Saccharomyces cerevisiae S288C: one gene and its partners. Changing the gene in region 2 together with the main gene of any one other region gives a genetic interaction. Each region holds a gene or a part of one and is shown on either strand. Other genes may lie near its edges.

The links.
Region 1: mutations in SHE1 (region 2) and TOS2 together harm fitness more than expected from each alone (negative genetic interaction), as found in Saccharomyces cerevisiae (2 studies listed by BioGRID).
Region 3: mutations in SHE1 (region 2) and OPI1 together harm fitness more than expected from each alone (negative genetic interaction), as found in Saccharomyces cerevisiae (2 studies listed by BioGRID).

The regions. Positions count from the first base shown.
Region 1 is NC_001139.9:931,796-940,768, reverse strand, and holds TOS2 (Tos2p), read left to right. Parts: upstream 1-1,776; coding exon 1,777-3,645; downstream 3,646-8,973. Other genes in the region: PET54 (Pet54p), read right to left, coding at 1-846; mitochondrial 54S ribosomal protein uL3m MRPL9, read left to right, coding at 3,886-4,695; exportin CRM1, read right to left, coding at 4,974-8,228. UniProt on the Saccharomyces cerevisiae protein: Seems to be involved in the anchoring of CDC24 to the membrane of polarized growth sites.
Region 2 is NC_001134.8:156,857-165,214, forward strand, and holds SHE1 (She1p), read left to right. Parts: upstream 1-4,842; coding exon 4,843-5,859; downstream 5,860-8,358. Other genes in the region: STU1 (Stu1p), read right to left, coding at 1-1,533; RIB1 (GTP cyclohydrolase II), read right to left, coding at 1,800-2,837; HEK2 (Hek2p), read left to right, coding at 3,328-4,473; ADP/ATP carrier protein PET9, read right to left, coding at 6,185-7,141; YBL029C-A (uncharacterized protein), read right to left, coding at 7,632-7,916.
Region 3 is NC_001140.6:62,838-71,242, forward strand, and holds OPI1 (transcriptional regulator OPI1), read right to left. Parts: upstream 4,620-8,405; coding exon 3,405-4,619; downstream 1-3,404. Other genes in the region: SPO11 (DNA topoisomerase (ATP-hydrolyzing)), read right to left, coding at 124-1,320; AIM17 (Aim17p), read right to left, coding at 1,625-3,022; APM2 (Apm2p), read right to left, coding at 4,894-6,711; MCO14 (4a-hydroxytetrahydrobiopterin dehydratase), read left to right, coding at 6,871-7,233; YHL017W (uncharacterized protein), read left to right, coding at 7,439-8,405. UniProt on the Saccharomyces cerevisiae protein: Negative regulator of the transcriptional complex INO2-INO4 in response to phospholipid precursor availability.

The DNA of each region.
Region 1 (8,973 bases), on a different chromosome or scaffold from region 2:
GTCCATTTCGAGCGAATAGTCAGCTGCATCTCCCTTTTCTGACAGGGTCAATAGCTCTTTAGCCAATAATCCATGATAGTTTCTTTTAAAGCGGTAGGCGTCATGCGAGTTTTCGAAAGATATAAATCGTAGATTTCTTTTCATTTCATCATCCCAGTATATCTTGAAGCTAGACCTTATGTTGTAAAACCAAAAATAATTCAATATATCGTGCGACCGTAATTTAGTGGGTATATTCCAGACTAATACGGACTTATTTTCTATTTCTTCCACCGAATCAAGGATACTCCGTAACTGATTGGTAGTGAACTCTCCACTAACATCGACTTTTTCGTTTAGTCCCTCAAAATATTGCTCAGATGATCGGAATGCGTTATATAGATTTTTTGAATATCTTTGTAATTTTGTTAACAGGGTTGGCAAGGGTTGCGCCAATGGCGTCATTTTCACCCTGATCTTGTTTATTCGCGAGTGTTTTGTTAATTTGATATACTCAGTAAGCGAGTTATAATCATTAAAAAACAAGTAATACTGATCCTTGAACTGGAAGTATTTAGGGTCCCTGACTTTCATCAACTGAAAGTCAAGCTCATTTGTAAATTGTCCCCTCTTTTTATACAAATTTTCTGGCAGAATTGACAGGAAATCCTCCTTAACTAAATATGGATTGTAGCTTCTATATTGTAGGACAGAAGGTTTCTTTTCCTGCAACTGCTGCTGCTTATTAACAGATGCCGTTTTCTCACTTATTGTTGCTGAATTTCCTGACTCTACGGAGCCAAGAACTCTTCCCGTGGACTTCAGATGGTCCAGTACTAATTTAATAGCTTTACTAGAAGCCTTCATATCTGCTTTACATCGATGACAAAGGGATAATGGGTAGAGTCTGGCACTCCTACCCTAAATTGTTAACTTCCTATTTGAGTTCGTGGTGTTAGTATTCTCATCACGATTAACGAATATGAAAAAAAAAATTGAAAATTTTGTAGAAACGGAGTGCTCAGTATAAAAAGCGCATAGTAAGACTTTTTGTTAAATGTTTCTTTCCTCCTATATATTTTAAAATACTTTTCTTTCTTTTTGTTTTAAAACCTGCAAGCAGCTTTACAGATCAATGGCGGAGGGAGGTCAACATCAAGAACTGTGGGCCTTTTATTGCCTATAGAACTTATAACGAACATGGTTCTTGCCTTTTACCAGAACCATCCGGGTGTTGTCTCCATAGAAACAGGTAAAGCTGTCCGTTACTGTGGGCTTGCCATATTTTTTGGAACTTTTCTGCCCTTTTTCTCAATGAGTAAGGAGGGCGTTTATCTTTTCTATTTTATTTTTCTACAAATTTGATTCATGAGTCCATGGAACAAATATATAGAACTCATTTTCTTGTTTCGGTATATATATTAACTCCATTGAAGCATTTGCTTTTATCCTGACTGCATTTTTAGGAAGCTTTAAGTAAAGAATAGATAATATGGAGCAGAAATAAGACGATCACAGGAGCAAGTCGCGAAAAAAGAACAAGAATGCGCTTTTAAAGTTTCGCGTTCGATACATTTGAGACTAAACTATTCGAAAGTGTTCGATGTTCAATAATGACCAGTCGCGTAAAGGAGCATTTGCATAAAAGAGTATACCCTTTACTCTTGTTTCATCGGTTGTTGCCTTTATCTTAGGCTGCAATAGCATAGTAAAGCAACTTGTGCGATCGAAATATACTTCATAGTAACTGCAAGTGAGAAATAGTGCTTCCCCTACTTTAGATGCTATAAAGCGTCCATGTTTAGTCACTACCGCTATAAAGAAAATTCTTGCCAAAAAAGAGAGGCTATACCAGACAAATCTCGCGTATCACTGACATTTCTTCAGAAAAGAACCGATTCATCTAACGTCACTGTTGCAGTGGCCGTTGCTGTTCCCATTGGTGCTATTATTATAGTACTATCCGTCGTTTTAATAGTAGTATATAGGAGATGCAAAAAAGAACCTTCTATGCAGGATTTTGACCCAAATTTTGAGGGCGATTTATACTATTTACCGAAGATGGATTCTTCTATGAATTCTGCAAACTCAGACAGCAATGCCACAGAAAAGAGGTTTATTTATGGTGGTTATGACGATTTTTTGCAACCGTCAATCGAAAACTCACAATCTTTCAAAGATTATGTGAGGCGTATCAATGAGCATGCACCCTCCGCTTATAATATTGCTTCACTGGCTTCGCAGAATAACAGCAAGTTATCGGTCCCCTCCAAGCACATTGACCTTTCGAATAAGATTTCTTTCGAATCGTTAGAGAATTCTGAGCTGATTGTTTCACCACAACACTCAAATACTGGGCAAGACTGTGATCAAAGATGTGATAGTACGTCAAATCCTGATGTAAATGAAAAGTCCAGCCATAACAACGATAATCGACTTAAATCGAATTATACGAGTCGTAGCGGGCTCGAGCCTCAGTGTTCGAGAGAGGAGGAAGAAAATATTGACAGAATAAGAAGCATTTATAACATTTATTTTGAGAAAAGTAATAGCACGATACGATCCTCTGTAACTTCTTCGATACGGCGTGACTCTAAATTAAACATCGCTACAAGAAAAAGTGTAAATATGAGCTCTCAAGACAATCCAAATGATACTACATTAATTGAACAGAGTCACTTCGGAAGTACAACTGTCCAAGAAATTGATTCCAGTTCCAGCGCCAATGAGGAATATGAAGATGCAACTGATTATCTGCAAGTGCCGGCACCACAAGAGAATAAAAACATTGCATCGTCAGTATATTCAGAAGTAGCAACCAGAGAAAAAGTGATTCCCGAATCGTCTCTATCTCTTACATTCCCACCACCGAATGGTCTTTCAACGAGAATTACCTCATCAATATATTCTGACACGGTCGCTAAGGACCATATTCACTCTGCAAAGGCTCCCGTACGGGCCCTTTCGGAGGGTTCGGGTCAGTCAAATCTTACTTCTGCTCAGCAATATTCTACATATTTTATAGATCACTGCAACCAGAGCAATGATGACAATTACTACTATAATTATCCCCTCCCGTTAGAACATCCTCAAAATTATGAGAACATCGGAGATTTGCCCACGCCTACCCAATTCATTTATTCCACCTCTTCGCATTCCTTGACGTCATTCAAAGGAAGGCCTAAACCTCCAAAAACACTAAAACATGTACCTACAGCTAGGCTTAATGGGACAGCGTTGAATCCAATGGATCATCCTGAAATGTTTTACAGTTCGCCTACGAAAATACCGTCAACATCTTTGACAAAGCAATTTTGTACGCCCCTTCCATATCAGCTTAGACAAAGTGTTGTTATGACCAACCCATCAGAACTTTCTATGAAACCTCGCTATAAGCCTGCAGGATCTTTAAGAAATTTAATAAAGGCCCAATATCTCCCTGGTAACTCATCCACTACAACATCATCTTCTTTATCACAACCGCCGTCAACGTTGTCAAATGCAATAAATTTCCGTGTTAGTGGGTTATTGGATGACACTGACATCTTGCAGCCTCCTAGTGTGGGGGAAATCTTACCTTTTAAAGCTTCTACGGAAGACTTAAGGAAGCAACTGGGCACATCCCATAATTACGAAATAACACCGTACGAGAATGTACATGTATAAATAAAATTCAAAATCATGAAATGTTGTAACAGTAAATAAGCACCATAAATTCGTTTCTCGATGATCCTCTTCTTTCCTTAATTGAAATGCTAATGCCATTTCTCCTATTACAGTCGCGAGATATTTGTTTTCGGGTAATCCCTTGTCAAACGAACTTTATTGAAAAATATATGGACGATAAATTGACAACTGGGACGAGAAAGGGCAACTCTTTGAAAGCAAGAGAGAACAAATATAGCCATGTCGAAGTTCCTACAGGGATCAATATTTAGCATATCAAAACTTCATGTTAGATATTCTTCTACTCGGCCTTTTCTAGTGGCTCCTAGTATTGCTAACAGTATAACAACCGAGGCTCCAGCGATTAATCACTCACCTGAACTGGCAAATGCGAGAAAATGGCTACCAAAAAGATGCGGTTTAATTACTCGTAAGAAGGGAATGATGCCTTATTTTGATAAATCTACTGGTGAAAGAAGCGCCGCTACTATATTAGAAGTTAATAATGTTGAAGTAATAATGCATAGAACTTCGGAGGTCAATGGGTACTTCGCGTGTCAAGTAGGGTACGGATCAAGGCATTTGTCTAAAGTTAGCAGACAAATGCTTGGTCATTTCGCTTCTAAAGTTGTTAACCCAAAAGAGCATGTGGCCGAATTCCGAGTTAAAGATGAAAAGGGATTAATACCACCTGGCACATTATTGAAACCCTCTTTTTTCAAAGAAGGCCAATATGTTGACGTCAGATCAGTCAGCAAAGGCAAAGGTTTTACTGGTGTGATGAAAAGGTATGGATTCAAGGGTTTGAGAGCATCTCATGGTACATCTATTATGCATAGACACGGTGGTTCTTATGGTCAAAACCAAGACCCAGGTAGGGTACTGCCAGGAAGAAAGATGCCTGGTCATATGGGAAACGAGCATGTTACTATCCAAAATGTTAAAGTTTTGAAAGTCGACGATGAAAATAATGTTATTTGGGTTAAAGGCTCTGTGGCTGGGCCCAAAAACAGTTTCGTTAAAATTCAAGATGCAATCAAAAAAACTTGAGCATAAGGCGTATAAGTATTTTACTACAATCATGTACATACATCAATAATAACAATAAAATGGGTAATCACTTAAGAATCTTCAAATAATATTCTTTACTTTTCCATGAAGTTGGCTAAATAGTATTTAGTACTATATTAGAGTATTGGAACTTTGAAGAACCAATTTACATACAATATGAAGTGAAAAAGAAATGAAAACCCCGTGGTTATAAATTAGAGACTAGTTAATAAAAGGGAAAAAATATTGGAAATTTAAAGAATGATACGCCACCGCCTCTAATCATCAAGTTCGGAAGGTTTTAATAACCCACCAATCTTGGCAGCTTTTTCCCTCTCTAGTCTATTCTGTTCCATTAATGCATTCTCTTTATCTTCAGCAAACAAATAATCTGTTGGATCACCTCCGACTTCTTTGATTTGCACCAAAAAGTCCCTCAAAGTGCCTTTGAAGACCACTAAGTCTTTGTATTGTTTAGTTAATGCAGAGAGAAAACTTGCGATTTGTTCGGATGTTAAATGGGGGAATGCATTACTTAACATATTAGCCAAATATTGGCTTAAGTAGACTTGATTTGAAGTTCCTTGTGGTACCTCAGCTTCTTGATATAATGGTACCGAAATCTTGTTATCATAAACCAAAGAAATCAACTTCATTAGTAACAAAGCTTGCTTAGAAAAACCGGATTTGTGGTCGGAATCGGTTAAAACAAAAAACGTTTCACTGACAAAAATGAAAAAATAATTCTTGTGGAACTCATTTGCAAATGGGACATTTCCCATTCTTTCAATGTTTTTCACTAGGTCTAATGCAATCTGTAGACCATTAACTTCGACATCTCTATTGTTATGTTTGAACGCCCAACAAATAGCGTCAACAAACAATTTAAAGGCAGCCGGAGGTAGTTCCAAAAATGCAGCAAATGATTTCTCATTGATGACCTTCAATAACTTGTAAAATTCTACACGATGCTCTGGATATTCTGTGAAGTCTTTGTTAATCATGTCCAAAGTGCATTCAAATACACTCTGTAAAATTAAAATAACACCTTGTGGGATCATATGACCAACCTTTTCTACTACTGTTGTCATACAATTTAGCACTTCGGCGTCCCTTGCATCAGGAACGTTGTTCATATAGTCTTCAAGTACAGCGTTCAATAATGGCTCAACTAACACTTTAACGACATCATCCAAATTTCTCGCCTTGGATATATAGGTCTCAACAAGCTTCAGAATCTCTTTTTTGATGGTTCTCAAACCACGAACCTTTGGTGTCTTCGTAGCAATTAGACCTTCTGCGGCAACTTGAGCAGAAATCATCGAAGAAACAGCTCTGTATAGCTGAAGCATATTGTAATAGATGTGACCCAACTGTGGATAGAAATCTGCTCCCATTGAGGTGCAGACAGCTACATTGGTTTTTATAATATTCGCAATAATTTTGACAGTTTCAGAATCTAACAACAATGTTGGGTTAGCAGTGGATTGTTCCACTATAGTGTCCCAAGCCATATTTGGCAGTTGCATCAAATCACTTAATAATCTATTTCTCTCCGCTACGCTTCTTTCTTCAGAAATAATAATACCACAAGCCTTGTAAAATGTATGGACCTGTTGCGGCTGTAGGTCAGCAGTTGTCTTTTGAATATCCCTAATTATTGTTTGGATGAAAGGCTCAGACTCACGGGGTTGTTGAATAACAAAATGATATTTACATTTTTGAACAATCTTAATGAATGTGTCACATGCCATATCCTGAACACCCTCATGAGTTTCATGCATAAATTCAAAAAGTTTCAAAATAACTGTTCTTAGAAAATTCCAGTGAGCCTTCAAAAATCTAGGATATTGGCCCACGACGTACATAATATCCGATGCAACAACAGCTTTATTATCTTTACCCCTTTTCTTGACCGTTAAATCTAGTAAATCTTTAATAACAGTAACTACAAACCTTTTTTCAGTATCTTCGCTCATTGTACCAGATATGGAACCAATAGCCCAAGATAAAGTGTTGATATTATGCCATGACCATTCGGAACCATCGATTTGCCTTGCCAATTTACTGATCATGATTTCTTCTGTATCGATAACATTCAAATGGGTCAAATATACAAGAACCTCTCTTTCTGATTTGTATAATTGGATAGTGTCTGATTCTTTAACGAACTCTCTAACAATTTCTCCTTCATCATTTTCAACCACAAGGACTTCTTCTGGTCTAACCATATTTTCAATAATGACCAATCTCAACTGTGAACAAATTTCTTCGTAAATATGTTTTTTTAATGGAAATCTTTTCATATATTCCGGATTTAGGGCGCCAGATCCAGTTGAGATAGCTTGTGAACCGACTGATAACTGTATCAATGGGCTCATTTCGGTAGCAGGCAAACGCTGAACCTCATAAAACAAATCTGCTACTAAATTATGCCAGTAATCCAATGTCGTCTTAAATAGTTCTCTTTCTTCGATTTTGGATAATTGAATTAAGTATTGGTGCGCATTCAACAACAACTCTCTTAACGATTCATCACTCTCTAGAAGGGCCCTATTACGAGCGAGATATGTAGTTAGAAACATTGCTAAATCTTGTAAGAAAGATTGATCATTACCGTTAGCATTTGCATAAGTGGCTTTCAGATCGGCAGTCACGGGCATCACACTTGTGGCAATTTGTTGTAGAGTATTTTGGAAAAAAAGTACAGTTTGTCTTTTTATCAAATCATTATCTTGTGGAATTTTTAGATTTGAAACCTCAGTCAAACATTTCAATGTGATGGCTCTTGTATCAGGCGATGTCATGAATTTGGTGCTTAATAATTCCAAAATATTGGTTTCATAAATATAACGATAAGGAATCCAATGTAAATATCTCAGTAAAGATTCTAAGGTTGCCACTATTAGAGAGCTTGAAGAACCTTGTTCCAAAACTTGAAAACATAATTTAAAAATCTGTTCAAATTCTTTTGACATGGAATTTTTCAAATGTAAAGCTTTAGCTTGTGTCATTTGTTCCGCAGAGAAATCGAAGACTTCTTCGGATAGCAGTTTCAAAACGATCATGTTATTTTCACAAACATTAACAGAGGAACTTGAACTGCCGATTAGTTCTGGGATAAATTCAGGCCAATTCTGAGGCCATTCCTGCTTTAAAATTTGGACCAAAGTCAAGTCCGACTTATTGATCAGGTTCTTTTGTGTTTTAAATACTTCATCGTCTTGGCACATGGAGATAATCATACCAACAACGAAGTTCCTAATTCCAATTCTATGATCATTCGGCAACAATTTCCATTTTCTAGTAATTAATTTATCAAGGATGGAAAGGGCAATAAATTTTGATTGAGGGTTAGTTGAGAATTGAAGAATTTGGTCAGCTTTTTGCCAAGCGTCTGGATTATCTTGAAATTTAGTCAAAATCTCTTGGGCTTGCTTTTGCTGAACACCTGAACCTTGATAGAATGTAGATACCACCTGATCTAATAGAGCGATATCTAAGTCGTTAGAAAAATCCAAAATTCCTTCCATATTATGTTTTTATCCTATTTTTGAAGTCAGTGAGCGGTTTCAATAATGTAGAGTAAAATGTTAACTTCTTCTTAATTATACTATTAGTTAAGTTTCTTGCCTTTCACAGGTCAACGTCTATTATTGTAGGTGTAAGTAATTGAAAGAGCGAGAATGATAGAAAAGAACAAAAGAAAACTTAACAATGATTGACTTTACTTAAAATAATCAGGCCAGAGAAATGAATAGTGTTGAGGTTCTCAAGATCTATGTCAAAGTTGTGACCGAATATCCTGCAGTTGATAATCTTTTTTGCCTTTGCTATTAGCGATAATTCATAATAATGCTAACGTAGGAAGAATAAGGAAAGCCAGGGAAATCTGCGAAATTCTTTTTTTTTCTTATAAAGAAAGATCATTCCAAATAGTATATATCTCCGGGTAATGATGTAATATTGCCCTTCATAATATATTATTTGTATTGAAACGATATAAGAGGAGAGGATTGACAGTAACTGGGAGGTATATAATGTGTACACAACATGAGAAATGGGTAAATGATGAGATAATTGTTGGGATTCCATTGTTGATAAAGGCTATAATATTAGGTATACAGAATATACTAGAAGTTCTCCTCGAGGATATAGGAATCCTCAAAATGGAATCTATATTTCTACATACTAATATTACGATTATTCCTCATTCCGTTTTATATGTTTCATTATCCTATTATATTATCAATCCTTGCACTTCAGCTTCCTCTAACA
Region 2 (8,358 bases):
TTCTTCGATGTATATGATGTTATTCTCCAACTTTGAGGTTGGCGAAGTTGTATTTGAATTGTTGAGCGAAAGATTGGAGTCGTTGAACTTAATCAGGAAGCTACGCAGCAGTATTGCAGAGCAAAATCTCGGTGTTACGGTTTTCTCATTTATTAATAAAAAAGATAATTGGAATAGTTTATTATGGAAATGATTTATATCAATGATCAAAGTAATTAAACAATGAAATGCAGTTTGTGAAGAGATTTTCTTGGTAGATGATAACAAGTTCTTGAAAATGACAAATATTTGGTCCAATATTGATAGGGGCAACTGATCGTTTAGGATATGGATTAGCCTCTTGAGGAAAAGTAATGCAGTTAATGATAACGTTGTCCTCAACGACGAGGTAGCTCTTGAAATCAACTCAATCAACTGCACCTCCTTTATTACAGTGACAAATTCCTCTGGATTATCTTTGGGAATGTTGCCGGATATAATGTTGTCTAATTCAATTATATTTGATTGCCTTAGCTTCCAATTTTGTTCTGTTTCCTTTACACTTTGGAACGGTGCCAACAAATTCTCCAAGTCTTGTTGTAATTGGTTCAAAGACTCATAGTTTTTTTTCATCGCTGGGTCTTTACTGCTCAAGTTGTTTGATAACTGCGGCAATTTCGCTTCGGCTAATAGTAATTGAAACTCGTACTCTTCGTCAAACAAGGTCGATTTATCTTCTTGTGAACCATGCTGGTCCTGTGACTTTGCTAAACTTATGAATTTTTGCTTGAATTTCTCAACTTCTAAATCGTTAATAAATCCATCTATCAGATCCTGTGAATTTTCGTCATCCATTTTCAAATACTTGTACATTATATCGAAAATAAGCTCTATTATTACATTATTGTTATCATCGTTTGCGTGTTCATTTAGGTTGTTATTTAAAAGGTTGGTGAAAGACAGCATGAAAAACCTCAGTAGTTGCAAATGATTTGAATTATTTTTCTCGTTGATCTGGATCAACTCATCGATGGTCAATAATGTAGATTTTATCCTATTCAGGTAATCTCCGTTTTGGTTTTCACTTGGTCTTCGCAAGAAATTTGCTAGAATAGCTTGGATCTTCGATGGATTAACCAAATAAATGGCTTCAATGGCTTTAATGGAAGCCAGCCAAAATTTCTTCTCATTAGGCAACTCGAAAATTAAGTGGTTTAGTAATTGCTCAACTAGAGTGTCATTGAATTGTACTGGAGACTGCATGGCCACACGTTTGATAAGGTAACAAAGCGAGGAATGTGATAGGAAGATTAACCGCGGGTACGAACGGTAAGCGTAATGGCCGGAGATGAACAGTAACGCAGCGAAATAAGCTTGGATCGACGATTCGTTAACTAGTTCCTTTTTTACATGTCCTTTGAACCGTGTAAGCAGTGCCATTTTTTCCTCGATGGGTACAGACTCGTCCTTGAATACGGTATACAAAGGGAAGGAATCGTCTGGATGTGTATTAGTGTTGCTGTTATTATTGGTCTCATTGTTGAAGGACGACATTATTTCTGAAGAATACAAGGTCTCTCCAAAAACCCTAATAATTACCGCTAAATATGCCTGTCAATCGGATGAAGGGAAGTTTCAACCTCAAATGTAAATAAATAGATGTTTAGCGTTTTAGAATAAATAAGTAAATAATTTGATTTTCTATAAAGATGTTAATGCGCCAATACGCGCCGACGGGGTAACGCATTAAAATAACATGGTATTTTCGTTTCATTACAAAAAAAGCACTATATGTACTAATAATTATGCTACACTTGTGTTTATATTGCCAGCGTCGATGTTGATGACAACGCAGAGTTCATACGGTTTTGGTTTTGGGCTTCACTTGTCTCAGTAGGTTGAGGGTTTGTATGAAGTTTCAGAGGCTCCGTTAGTAAATGACCCATTCTTTCTATCTTGGTCCTGAGATAACCTTCTATCTCCTTGGAGTCTATGCCTTCACTGGAGTTTGTCCAGTGTATGGGTACCATAGGCACTCGTTCAACGCACTTAAGGTAAGGCGCATGATCTACCTGTTTTATCTTTTCCGGGTTATTTGTCAGCAGCCTGACATTACCGATGCCAAGATCCAGCAAAATAGCCTTACCCAGCGAGAAGTCCCTAGCATCCACGGGATGTTTCAGCATTAAGTTGGCCTGCACTGTGTCAGCACCTAAGTCTTGCAGGTTGTAGGCCTTGAGTTTCTCACCTAACCCGATGCCACGACCCTCTTGTCTTAGATACACGATAACACCATGGCCGTTTCCACCTTTGATGTTGCTTGTGGGTTCGTGGTCGCAAGCGATAAGCCTACCGGCCCTATCGAATTGTTCACCACAATCACAACGGGCGCTCCATGCGTTTTCACCGGTGTAACATTCAGAATGGATCCGTACCAGCGTGTCGTTATGGGCGTCCCATGTAGTGGCTTTGGAAGCTAATAACTCACCTGTACTATCATCAAACTCCAGAGCTAATCCGAGTCTATCGTCTTCGTCTGCCACAGTTCTGCCGGGATACAGTTTGCCAATATAAGCGCCCCTGATCATTCTATCTTGTTGCGTCTCGCACTGTCTTCTACGGAATAGCGAGCGCGACCGTATGTCTTCACCAAACACAATGGCTAGATGTTCCTTGTTGTCCCTGTTGTTACTGTAAAGATGTAAAAAGATATCCGGACCCTGTGTGGTTGGGATACGAGCTCTTGCGACACATTGTACTAGAGGCAAGCCGCCATCGCCGTTCCTGCCATCACCCGTACCACTAACCTCGTATTTGCTGCTATCCTGTTTACTGTTGTCGTAGTTATCTATGGTCATCCTGTAGGTTTGTTGTAGTTTTATGTACGCCACTTTTTGTAATGACTCAATTATTGTCCACGCCAGCACAGCAACTTCTTTATATATACTATAGCGGCGCTGGCGCTCACCCCACAAGAGCGTCCGACTAATTTCTGACAAATCGTAAAAAGAAAAAGAAAAACTCAAAGGAAAAAGAAAAAGTCTCACCCTACACAACTTGTTTTCAAAAACGGTATAGACCCTACTATTTCTGTTTTAGCCCTATGCTAAGTCTAGACATTACCCTATCCCTTTTAACGAAAGCCCTTTTGTTTTTTTTCTGTGTGTCCGGCCGCTCAGCCAAACAACAAACAAGACTATAATCTGGAGCATAAGTACCCGAGCATATATAACTACTTGGCATACGAAGTAAAAGCATATTGCTCCCCACTCCTATCGCGCGTCCCCTGTACAACAAAGCATCAACTTATCGGGTAACTTAGAGACAGCATTAGTATATATACCAGCCATGTCACAGTTCTTCGAAGCTGCTACTCCCGTTGCAATTCCCACAAACAATACCAACGGCGGCTCCAGTGATGCCGGCAGCGCCGCCACTGGCGGCGCCCCCGTTGTTGGCACCACCGCTCAACCCACCATCAATCACAGGCTTTTGCTGTCATTGAAAGAGGCTGCCAAGATCATTGGCACTAAGGGCTCCACCATCTCACGCATAAGAGCTGCAAACGCCGTCAAGATCGGTATTTCTGAAAAGGTGCCCGGTTGCTCTGACAGGATCCTGTCCTGTGCTGGGAACGTAATCAATGTGGCCAATGCCATTGGTGATATTGTTGACGTGCTTAACAAACGGAATCCCGAAAATGAGGACGCAGCTGAGGGCGAAGCGGAAGAGCACTACTACTTCCACTTTTTGAACCATATTTTACCAGCTCCCTCAAAGGACGAGATCAGAGATCTGCAGCAACTGGAGGACATCGGTTATGTGAGGCTCATTGTGGCCAATTCCCATATCTCATCGATTATCGGGAAAGCAGGCGCCACCATCAAGTCCCTGATCAATAAGCACGGCGTTAAGATCGTGGCTTCCAAGGACTTCTTACCTGCTAGCGACGAGAGAATTATCGAGATCCAGGGTTTCCCAGGATCCATCACCAATGTACTTATCGAAATTAGCGAGATCATCTTGAGTGACGTTGACGTCAGATTCAGCACAGAAAGATCTTATTTCCCTCATCTGAAAAAGTCCTCCGGTGAGCCAACTTCCCCTTCTACCTCATCTAACACTAGGATCGAATTGAAGATTCCAGAACTGTATGTAGGCGCCATTATTGGCCGTGGAATGAACAGAATTAAGAATTTGAAAACTTTCACAAAAACCAATATTGTCGTGGAAAGGAAGGATGACGATGATAAAGACGAAAATTTTAGAAAATTCATAATCACAAGTAAATTTCCTAAGAATGTCAAACTTGCTGAGTCCATGCTTTTGAAGAACCTGAATACTGAAATTGAGAAACGTGAAAACTACAAGAGAAAATTGGAAGCTGCCGAAGGAGATGCCACTGTTGTTACTGAACGCTCTGATTCTGCTTCTTTCTTGGAAGAGAAGGAAGAACCTCAAGAGAATCATGATAACAAAGAGGAGCAGTCGTAGTATATACGTGTGCGTGCGCACGTCCCACACAGACAAAACAAACTATCATCTTAACGAATAATGTTGCATCATTACTAGTTTAAACTGTATTTTTATTAAAGGGAAAAAAATGATTCAATATGTATATATTTATTCATGTATATGTATTTTGAATTAAAAAAAAACGTTTTATAAATACTCAATAAAGCCGTTGTATTTTCTTTATTACTATCGAAATTCTTGCTTTAAACATTTCGCGCATCGCCGGCTAGAGGCACAGAGAGGGAAGGGGAAAATAACATGAAAAAATCGTAAGTTTCTAGGCAATGGTATAAACAAATAAACAATAAACATGCAATTACAGCTCTAGAACACATATTATCTTCATGGATGAATGATAAACTCCAAGAAGAGCATAACGAAAAAGACACCACTTCACAAATTAATGGTTTCACGCCGCCGCATATGAGTATAGACTTTCATTCAAATAACAATAGCAATATCATCGAGACTATTGGCGTTTCCAAAAGATTAGGAAATTCTGTATTAAGTGAACTGGATTCTAGAGCTAGCTCAAAATTTGAATTTTTAAAAGATCAATCCGAACAACAATACAACGGCGACAAGAACAATGAACCAAAATCGGGCTCGTATAATATTAATGAGTTCTTCCAAGCAAAGCACGACTCTCAATTTGGCCAGATGGAGTCGCTAGACACACATTATACCCTTTTACATACGCCCAAGAGAAAGTCACAACATGCAATCCCACAGGATCGATCGGATTCGATGAAAAGGTCGAGACCGTCCCGCTCAATTCCATACACTACACCAGTGGTAAACGATATCACAAGAAGAATACGAAGATTGAAATTACGGAACTCATTGGTTAATGGTAATGACATAGTGGCTAGAGCGAGATCTATGCAAGCAAATTCTAACATTAATTCAATAAAGAACACACCATTGTCAAAGCCCAAGCCATTTATGCACAAACCAAACTTTCTAATGCCCACTACGAATTCTTTGAACAAGATCAATTCCGCTCACCGTAATACATCCTCCTCTTCGACAGCTTCATCGATACCAAGATCTAAAGTACACAGATCGATATCAATAAGAGATTTACACGCCAAAACCAAACCGGTAGAACGCACGCCAGTTGCGCAAGGAACAAATTCGCAATTGAAGAATTCAGTTTCCGTTTTTGATAGACTTTACAAGCAAACAACGTTCTCTAGGTCGACGTCTATGAACAACTTATCGTCAGGAACCTCTGCAAAATCCAAGGAACACACAAATGTAAAGACTCGGTTGGTTAAAAGTAAGACAAGTGGTTCATTGTCCAGTAACCTTAAGCAAAGTACTGCCACCGGCACAAAGAGTGATAGACCTATTTGGCGGTGATTAAGTAATAAAAAAATTGCATTTTATAAGAAACATCATGTGATGACATTTAAAAAGTGGGAAAGAATACTACTAATATAAAACTATTTACTGGATATTTAGAATTTTTTTTTTTTCTTCTTTATACGTAAAAGTTGTTCAAAAAATTTCATCGTTTTCTTTTTTTATGAATCTTTGATTCTTGTTGAAAAGAATTTCTAAAAAAATAGGAGGATAATAATATTATCAAAACAAATCGTGTCACTCATTAAACACCAAAAATCCAAAGAAGAAAAAAAGGAAAATGTGAGAAAGAATTTAGATTAAGAATCAAGCCAGATTAGACTTATTTGAACTTCTTACCAAACAAGATCATTTGCAGTTGGTCGTACATTGAGATAACACCAGCACCTGCGACACCTCTTAAGATGTTAGCACCACAACCCTTGAATAGAGAACCAACACCTTCAGCAGCAACAATCTTCCTCAAACAGTCAAAGGCACCGTCGTACTTAACAGCTTGACCGGAGGTCATCATCATTCTTCTTCTAACGGTATCCAATGGGTAAGAACATGTAGAAGCACCAGTAGTAACAACCCAACCCAACAAGAATGAAGCCAAGAATGAACCTTCCAAAGAACCAGTCAACAATAGAGGCTTCAAAGAATCGTACATACCGAAGTATAGACCTCTGTAGACAACAATACCAACGACAGAAGGTAAGAAACCTCTGTAAAGACCAGCAACACCATCAGATTTTAAGGTCTTCTTGTAGACATCGATCAAACCGTTGAATTGACGAGCACCACCCTTTTTAGAGGACTTGGAGTCAGCAGCCAATCTAGTTCTTGCATAATCCAAAGAGTAAACAAATAGTAATGACAAGGCACCAGCAGCACCACCAGATGCCAAGTTACCGGCAAACCATTTGGCGTAACCTTCTTCCTTCTTGAAACCAAACATGGCCTTGATCTTGTCCTTGAAGGCGAAATTCAAAGCTTGAGTGGGGAAATAACGGATAACGTTAGCAGTGTTACCTCTCCAGAATGAGATAACACCTTCCTGTGTAGCGGTTCTCTTGAAACAGTCTAAGATACCTGCGTATTTTCTGTCCAAAGTACCTTGTTTTAACATTTCATCTTGGTTTTGGATCAAAAGTTTAACTCTTTCGATGGGAGATGCAGCAGTTTTGGCGACAGCGGCACTGACACCACCCATTAAGAAATCAATCAAAAAGTTAGATTCCTTCTTTGGAGCTGGGGCTGGAGGTAATGGGGTTTTGACTTGGGCGTTGGAAGACATGGCTATTTGCTTATATGTATGTTAATGTATGATTCTGAAGTATAAAAGAGCACACAAAAAAGAACAACGACAAATATAAATAATATAGAGGGGCTCCTTTGACTTGTAGATGTATTGCAATGTTCCGTATAACTAACAGTGAATATATACTTTTTTGAGTGGGTTGTCGTGAAAAATTAATATTAAAAACTCAAATGGTATTTATATTGTGCGACGACGTGGGCCCGATCGACGGAGACATGTCCCCGATAATCGCACCTCACCCTCTGAGAGTGGGGCCTTCTCATTGGCCCGCGCTCTACACCAATCAGCATAGCGCATTTACCGCCTTTCGCTTGTTCTCCATTGGAAACAGTGCTCGTGCATCGTGATGTTATTTGTTACGTATGGAAAAATCGTGTCTATACTTCTGTATAATATATGTATGGTTATAGTGAACACATATATATAAATACATATATAAGAGGAAGAAAAGGAAATTATTTCGTTATCAGTTGGGCTGCTTTTGTCGTAAGTTTTGTTGTTCTTGAATGACTTTATTAAGCTGTTCGTCATTCTTAAAATCTTGTCGCCAATTGCATATGGGGCAGTGCAACTGTTTTCCCCAGAAGACCGGAACCAACGGTATAAACCAAATAGTGAAAAATTCCTTTCTTTTTATGGGGCCGACACTATAATTGTGACAATTCGGGCAATACAGGTTTTGATGTCCGGGAACGGTATCGTATGAAGAGTCGAAACTCTTCATACCACATACAATAGGTATGAATGACATGGTAATTTTTTCTTTTTGAGGTTGTGTATTAAGTTGCTTATCTGATTTCACTTTACACCAATCTTCCTTGCTGACATTTATTCCCAACTTGTTCTTCAGCCGCTTGTTTTATAACGTACATTATTGTAAAAACGGAGTAGAAAGGGAAAAAGGGAAAGGGATGGACGTGGCTAATGCGCATCTTCGTTTGTGTGTATATCCTTTGATCTTCACTACATAATTTGTTACCCGACAATGCTTTTTTTTTTTTCTCAATTTTCATCTCTTTTCTTTTTCCTCATTTCTTATGAAAATCAGTGTGACTAAAATGAGACTTCGTATTTTTTGTAGAGGCACCATACGCCGGCTCCGCCGTCACCACATTCTCCCCTGCCGGTAAAGACCGGCGCACGCGGAAAAGGCGTACATAGCGTCGGGCGGTAACGGAGTCATTCCATCGCTG
Region 3 (8,405 bases), on a different chromosome or scaffold from region 2:
GAAATTGTATTTTTTTTTGGACTAGTATTCATTATCAAAGATTTCAATTTATATAATATTTAAATGTAACCGTTTTCAATTCTTGAAAAACATTTTTTATAAAGCAACAGCTCCCATTCTTATTCATTTGTATTCAAAAATTCTGGCATCAATCTCGTTCATTTCAGCTTTCTTTTGGAAAAAAATTTCCCGCTGACATTCTATGATGACGTTCTTTAATGGTGAAGTTGCAATATCCCAGCTGTTGGCAGTCAGAGATGCTATCAAATTCTTGGCTAAGGAGTAGTCGCGCTGATTCAAACTCAATAATTGAATGGATTTGTTATGCACTTCATTATTTTGTGCCAAAACTTGCGTAATACGAATTCCTTTATAGTTTGCCATCGTGCAAATATAAGCGTTGCGTTCATTCGAGTGAGTATAATTTAGGGCTATGCTAATCCCATAGGGGTCCGCATCGGTAAATATAGAACAGTCCGATATCAATTTGGAGCAATATTGTTCTAGTTTTTTTAGGAATAACCTTGTCAAGAAATCTGGAAATCCCTTACCTGTAATGAGCATGGTATTTGTACTCAACTTGTGATAATTATTTACTAATTTGGTGAAGACAGCTTCTTTTTCCACTATTACAATATTACACATACTTGTTGTCCCTAACTTGATGACCGCATCATCTTGGAAAAATGGAATTAGACAGGGCTTACCAGGGAAAATTGTTTGCTTTTGCATCTTTGGTTCATTTTCACATGTCAGAATATTGTCATAAATATCAATGGGGAAAGGCGAATAAACTAAACCCTTTTGAGCTGGTATAATGTTTAAGGATTTTCTTGGAGAGAGCTTGAAATTAAAGCGTATAACGTCCAGCCACTGGACTACGTTTGCTTGTCTTTGAAACAATTCCACGTTGGAGTAGAAGATATCTCTCACTGTAGTGTTTTTACCTAGCGGTAATTTTTCCATAACGACTTTCAATAAGTTTAAAAGGATTGCGCATCTTTTCAACTTGAACTGATGAGTGCATAGATGCGGGCCATTCAAAGGGAAGTCCAATGTTGTGTGAATGTCAGGACTGCTTGTATCGCCTTTTTTTTTTTTGTTTTGAAAGACGATTGAAATAGGCTGTTGATGTTGCTCTAATGAATTAGCCGCCAATGACAGGAAATGCTTAATATGAGCCAAAACATCTGCGTTTGAACAGGGAGTTCCGTTGGAGTGACCATTGGAGTTCAAGTGAATGGACCGTCTTTTAGGAGTGAGTGCTTTGACCAATTCCTGCCTTGTTTTATATTTTTTCCGCAATCCCTCCAAAGCCATGAGAAGGTGAACTTAGTAAATCGTAAAATCTTAAGGGTGAAGACAAATATGTGAGGTTATTTGAATGATATTTAGTTGGATATAATCACTAAATAAAGTAGATTTTCCTTGGGTAGTAGACTTTCTTTTACGTTATTCCTTTTATAATTTTAATTTTAGTTATTGATTTCAATGAAACAAAAGGAAACTGACGGCTTCTTAAAATAAATATATTTAACATGAAACATTAAAAAAAAAATTGTCACTACACAGAGAGAAAATAAATAAATATAAAGAATCACATAACTATGCTGAAAAAATGAAGTTATTTGTCATGAGGAAACTTCTCTTCCAAGAACTTTAATTTACTCTTGAAAGTATCAGAATCGAAATAGCAACCCTTTAACCATTGCTGGTTTGAGCTTGTTAAAGAGTTAGCATGCAAAATTCTCCTGTTGTTAAAGATAACACAACAGTTTTCGGGCAACTGCAATCTAAATTGATTGTTGAAGTCATTGATATGACTCTCGAACAAGTTCAACCCCCTAATGAAAGACTTAAACAAAAATCTCTCTGTTAGTTTTGCTGGGGTGGTAATTAAATTCAAGTCCAGATTATTATTTAGATCTGAGGGCTTATCATAAATTCCGAAAGTGAAAGGTGCTTGGTATGGTGGAGAGTAGTTAATGCATTTAATCAAGGCCTCATAATTACCCAGAAGAGTATTGTCCTCGTTAATGTCGTGATGTTCGATTAAAGGTTTGGATTGGTAGTACCTCTTATCGCCGTTTTCATATATATAATTTACAGGAACAATTTGTAAAGCCTCATAAGCCTCAAAATCCGATTCTCTAACATTACGGGTAGCATAAAATGCGTCCACGAAGTAATTCATGGGTCTAGTATTGGGATCTTCCCCTTCTGTAGCAGGTAGAGATTGTAGAATCTGGAAACCTGGCACATTTTCTAAAAATGGTAAATCCGTATGTAGCGGCAAGTCTTTATTGGCATAATGGGCATTAACACTTGTCGCTTGGGATGCATTCACGTCAAATGTACCTTCACCATGTACAGTCGATCTTATGGGTCCGATCCTTTCACAGATCTTTTGTATGGTAAGGCCTTCAGAGGAGGATGAAGGAGTACCGGAAATGAAAGCGATACCAAACTTTTGTAGGTTGACCAGCGTTTGGAAAAGCTTGGAGTCATCCTTAGGATCAATAAACTCGTTGTAGCTCACAGAAAGTAAGTCCTTGACGTTATCTTTCAGGATGCGCTTATTCCATAACTGGGGTCTATATCTGGATTCTTGTTTTCTTGTTGCTGGCGAAACAAAACTGGAACCTTTATAGTCGATAAAGAATTGTAAAGGGAACTGGTGATGACCGCCATCTTTCCATTTCACCACTAGAGATTTTCCGTCCTCAGAAATTTGAATGTCCTGAGGAGCGGTCAATTTCTCGTTATGATACAGTTCTCCCGTGGTCACCAGCTTGGCACTATGGGAGGCATCTCTAAGAAAAACGTTGTTAAAGCAAACGGAAACCGGCTTGCTGGACTCCTCCATGGAGAACGTAATTGTCGTAGAATCTCTATTGAAGTATGTTTTGATGATATGTCCCCGATTCGCAGCCGCAGCTGTCGCCGCAGATGTGTATGTCCTTGGTGTAGTGGTCAGTCTTGCAAGGATTCGAGATCCTCTGCATAAATTTGATCTTAGCATCTTGTGTTGGTAATTGGTTTCTAATAATTATTTTTTCTTTTTAACTTGGAATATGTTCCTGGCCAGTTGTGAAGAGTTACCCCTGATATTTGGATCTAGAAGGGCTTCTCCTTATATAGATAGCACTTTTCCTCGAGGATCAACCCCGGAAATGTATTCCCGACCCCCTTACGGCTGCGCAAAGGTCCTTACTGAGCCATTCAAAGGTAAAGAGGGTCCGATAATAATGGTAGTTCAAAAGGGGAGAAGCGGGGCTGGTACAATATCACGATTATGATTATGATTATGATTATGATTATGATTATGGATATTATATAAACTATATTATTCCGTATAATATTATTACTGGTGGTAATGCATGAAAGACCTCAATCTGTCTCGGTTAGTCCTTGCTATCCACGTTGTCCTGAGAGGGCTTTACGTAATTGCCATCCTTCTGCTGTTGCTGCCTGTACTGTTGCTGCTGTTGCAAGAAACGCTCCCTGATCATTTCTTTTACCTCCTGTTTCTGCTTCACCCATTCTTCAGCCTTGCCCAACGTGGAGTCGACTACGCCCATGACATTTCTCACCATTTCCAGGGATTCTTTGGCGAGAATGAGTACTTTCCCATTCGCAGTTACGGAGGAGGACGGCGAGGCTGAGTCGTCGCCATCCTTGTTCCTTTTTTGCTGTTGCTGTTGCAGGAGTTGCTGCTGCAAAAGTTGCTGCTGCTGCTGCTGTTGCTGTTGCTGTTGCTGTTGCTCCACTTTTTGTTCTTCACAGTTGGCATAATGAAACGAAGCATGATGCGGCAGTGATGTACTGTGGACGCTGTCGAACCAATTTGTGGGTAAGTTTAGAAGACTTTCCCGAACCTGAGATCTTGCGGGCTCCGGCAGCGAATTTGCTGTGAACTTCGATATCAGCGAGTAGACTTTCTTGACTGTGCCGACCACCTCCATTTTCACCACAATAGACTGCTCGCTGGCGTTGACCTGCTCTGAGGCATCAAAAAACTCCTCATCGTCGTCGTCTTCGTCTGACGATGTCTCGTCCTCGCCAGCTCCAGTGGTCGTCCTAGCATTTCCATCTTGCTTGTGCAAAGGATGCACCTGCTCCTTTTCAACAAGGTCCTGTAAACACGAGATTTTATCGGAAAGCTGCTTATTGGCCAGCTTTAAAAGATGCAAGCACGTTACAAGCCTCTTCTTAGACTCGATGGACATGTTCAGCTTGTACTCTTTCAAGTTGTCCTTCCCCTTGGCAATCGCCCGCGACAGCTTCTGTCTCTTGTTGGTGAAGAACTCATCGTCGTTGTAGTCGTAATCATCATGCTCGTCATCGTCATCGTCTAGCAGCCTCCCTATTGATTTCAGTGGCCTCTTGTTGGTGTTTATTTCATCGTAGAATGTCACTACGTTACTGATAATTTTGTTACTTACGCGATCCAAAATGTTTAGCGGCGTCGTAGACGACTCACTTGCCGGCATTTTGTCAGCTTGTGAGACGTCCTCTGAAGGCTGCGACTTCTGTCTGCATGATTGTTTCAACACCCCAAGTACTTCAGCCGCTTCTACCTCTTCCTCTGATAATCCTAAACGTTGATTTTCAGACATCAATGACTAGTATCTTCGTTAAAAACACTGTCCTGATACACACGCTTTAATCAGCACTGTAAACAAAATGCCACGTTCTGGCCTGATATGCTTTCTTGGCTAAGTGCAGATCGCTGTCTTGCTCCAATCCTCTTATTAATCCCTCTCATTGAGGTGGAAAAAAAAAAAATAAGAACGCCCGATTTTACCCGGTTGCATATGAAGATTATAAGGTGCCATCTATATACTAAAACGAACGTACCATTTGTCTATCTATGAGATGTCTGCGTAAGCGTCAAACAATATATGCGTACTCTTCGTCGCTGACGGTCTTGTATCTGACCCAGGGGAAAGACTGGTACTGCAATTGTGGCTCTTCGACCTTCAAGTACTCAACTTTCAGGCCACTGCATGTACAGTACGGAATCTCGAAATCAATGTTGACCAACTTATCTCGAGGAGTAACGTGGGAAGTTTGTTGGTCGTGCACTTGTCTATATAGTTCTTCCAGCCTGGGTCCCGTGCGCAAGGGCGGCGGATTCATTGAGGTTTTCATTTCTTCTTGCAGGCGGTCATATTCTTCCTGGTTGAAGAGGGGGAACTCTGCCACCATGGATGCACACGTATTTGGATCATCTTCGTCGCTGTTGTACTGTGAGCTCTTGTTTGTGCTATGTTCTCGGTGCCCCTTCATGGTTTGTATCTCCCAGAGGAGAAAATCGTCACTCAAGTTAAACACGACCTTGCCGATGTTTGCCTTGAATCTAATTTGCTTGCTGAGGTCTATTTTATATTCCTGGAAGACTTTTGTCAGGGGAATTCTCACGTTTAGCTTCGACGTTGAGTTGGTGGGTTTAAAATTTGTTTGAATTTTGGTTACAATTTGGATTTTAAACTTCTTCAGTTTAGGTTTGATTTCAAAATCTTTCAACCTCACCATCGGCGCATCCTTTACATGTCTCTTCAACTCGTATTGGCAAAGAACAAATTCGCCATCCGGCGGTATAAATTCGATTTCTCTTGCATCTGTGGCGGCCTGCAAACCAGCATCATCGTCACTATTCTTTTCTTCATCTTTTTCAATAGTGTTTATGGAATCTAGTGAAACACACTGATGAAAGCTGGAATTCGACATGAACTGGGGGTCCCTGTTCAGTATCTTGTTTATGGATATTTTCAGTTTGGGCATCCCTGATAAATAGCATCTGCACACAATCTCTCCATGTATCAGATTTTTCCTAATCACTCCTTTTTCAAAATCCATCAAGTACTGAACACGTTCAATAACATCAAGAAAGAACTCGTTTTTGGCGTAATGTATCCCCTTTGTTCTCCATGATATGGGCATTATAATCGTCTTCGCAATATCGCCATTGATGTATAAATCATTACCGTCATTGGGGAGCTCGTCATTAGCGGCTTCTTTACCGGTATCATTCTTGTTCCTTAGTGTCTCCTTGACAGTTTCCACCACGTTTATGCCCCTATTTTCTTTATTGTTTACCATTATACTTTTTAATTTACTTTTGCCCACGCTTTTCCCTTTAGTGCCCTTTTTCTTCTTCCTTTTCTTCTTCTTATCCTTCCTCTTATTAGTATTGCTGTACTCGCTATCGCTATCGCTACCGCTACTACTACTGCTCTCTTCACCAGGGCTCCACTCCTCATTGTCTACTGTAACTCTTGGTACGTTGACCTTCACACGAATGTAGTCCTTGATGATACTTGGATCCGTCACTTGTACGATACCAAAGTCTATACATTCATCAATCAACTCCAGGACAAGTAAGATGTTGTCCAGTATGACATTCTTAGTTAAGACCTCGATTTCAAAATATTTTTGTAAAAGATGATAAAATTGTTCCAAAAAGGCTAGTATAGTCATTAAGTCTATATTTGGTTTGTCTGTGGTATGTATCACTGAAACGAAATGCAGAAAGTCTCTCTTCAAATGTATAAAGAACCAATCGTTTTGGGAGAGAATTGGAGGCGACCCGTCATGATAACATTGTTTGAAACTTGAAAGAACCGACGATAGATTCGGTAGTGCTCTAATATTCTTCGATACCAATGGCTCCAGATTTTCATCCAGGATAAAAAGGCTTGACGACATGCCTTTCCTTCCTGATTTCCTCTTTACTATTTTTGGGTCCCTTTATTTGCTTTTTGTCCAAGGCATTCTCAATTTTCCAATCTGGAATTTAAGCCCTTCCAGTTATAAAACAGTAAACACAACCTACCAAAAGCAGAAAGAAACCAAAGTAAGAATACAATGCACAACAAGATTGTTAGAATCGCGTCCAGTGCACTCACAGGGGGCAAACTACTCGAGAAGCTAAAACCCTTGACCCGTTGGGAAGTTCAATGGGACCCTAATAAGACCAAATGTTTGGGAATAACAAGAGAGGTAACATTCAAGGACTACGAAACCACATGGGCCTTTTTGACTCGTGTATCGATGAGATCTCATCTATGGGGCCACCATCCCCTGATTCACACAAGTTACACCTGGGTCAAGCTGGAACTTCATACGCATGACATAGACCCGAAAGACGGGGCTCACAGCCAGCTTAGCGATATAGACGTCCGGATGGCCAAGAGAATAGATTCCTACATCGATGAGATGACAACTTGATAAGGCAGGGCAGGTCTAAAAGGCTATTGCTCTTTCCATTTTTTTTTTCCTATCGATTTTACTACTAGAAATTTTTGCTACCCATACCCATTCTCGCATTGCAACATGGAAAAACTGAAAATTGAAAAAAAAGGTATTGAAATTTCAACTGTATTGTGTAAATCATTTTTGGGCAAACTAGACACAATAACTAGCGAACAGAAAAATGGATAGAACGTGGCTATTACTGACGTGGCTGTTGCTACTCTGTGGGGTAGTTCAAGGGAACCAAGAAAGCATAAATCAAAAATATCACGATGTCTGTTCAGGGATGTATTCCAAGGAGGATTTCAATGGAAAAGTTGACCCCTATATATCGTTTACGTTGGAGGAATTGTCACTTGCTGATGAAGACGATGATGGCGAGGGGGTTAGTGTTGCTGTGTTTGATTTCCAAGATTATGAGCATATTGGTGTGCGGTTACCAAATGGAGAAATTCAGTATATTTGCGATGACTACGCATTGGATTTGGGCCTCTGTGAGGATTCGTCGGAGGGGCAATTTATCATTCAAGAGACAGCCATCGATCCGTTCACCAGTAAGGAACATAAGCTAACGAGTCAGATTTTGACTTTCACTCAACAAGAATTGGGCACTAACGACAAGGTATACTCAATTAACAAAACTGGTTACTATTGTGTGACCACGTCATCTTTCATTTCTTCCAGTTCCAAGTTTAAGGCTACAGTGAATTTTAGGAACGCTTACGGTCAATTGGACGCTTCAGAGGCGTACAAGATGCCTATTTATGCCTTTTTGGCCGTCGCTTATGCCGTCTGTACATTAGTGTACTCTTGGCTATGCTGGAAGCATAGACATGAGTTACTGCCTTTACAAAGGTACATTTTGGTATTTTGTATTTTCCTAACAGCTGATACTATTTTCGTCTGGATGTACTATATTATTGAGAACCAGAAGGGAAACTCCAGCGTCGCTCTTCATGTCTATATGGTTTTCATATCGATCTTTAGCGCCGGTAAGATGACTTTCACGCTTCTCCTCGCCTTGCTGATATCTCTTGGATATGGTATAGTATATCCAAAACTGGACCGTACATTGCTAAGAAGATGTCAAATATTTGCGATATTTACGTTTGCAGTGTGCGTTGCATTCCTGGTCCAAAAATATTCCC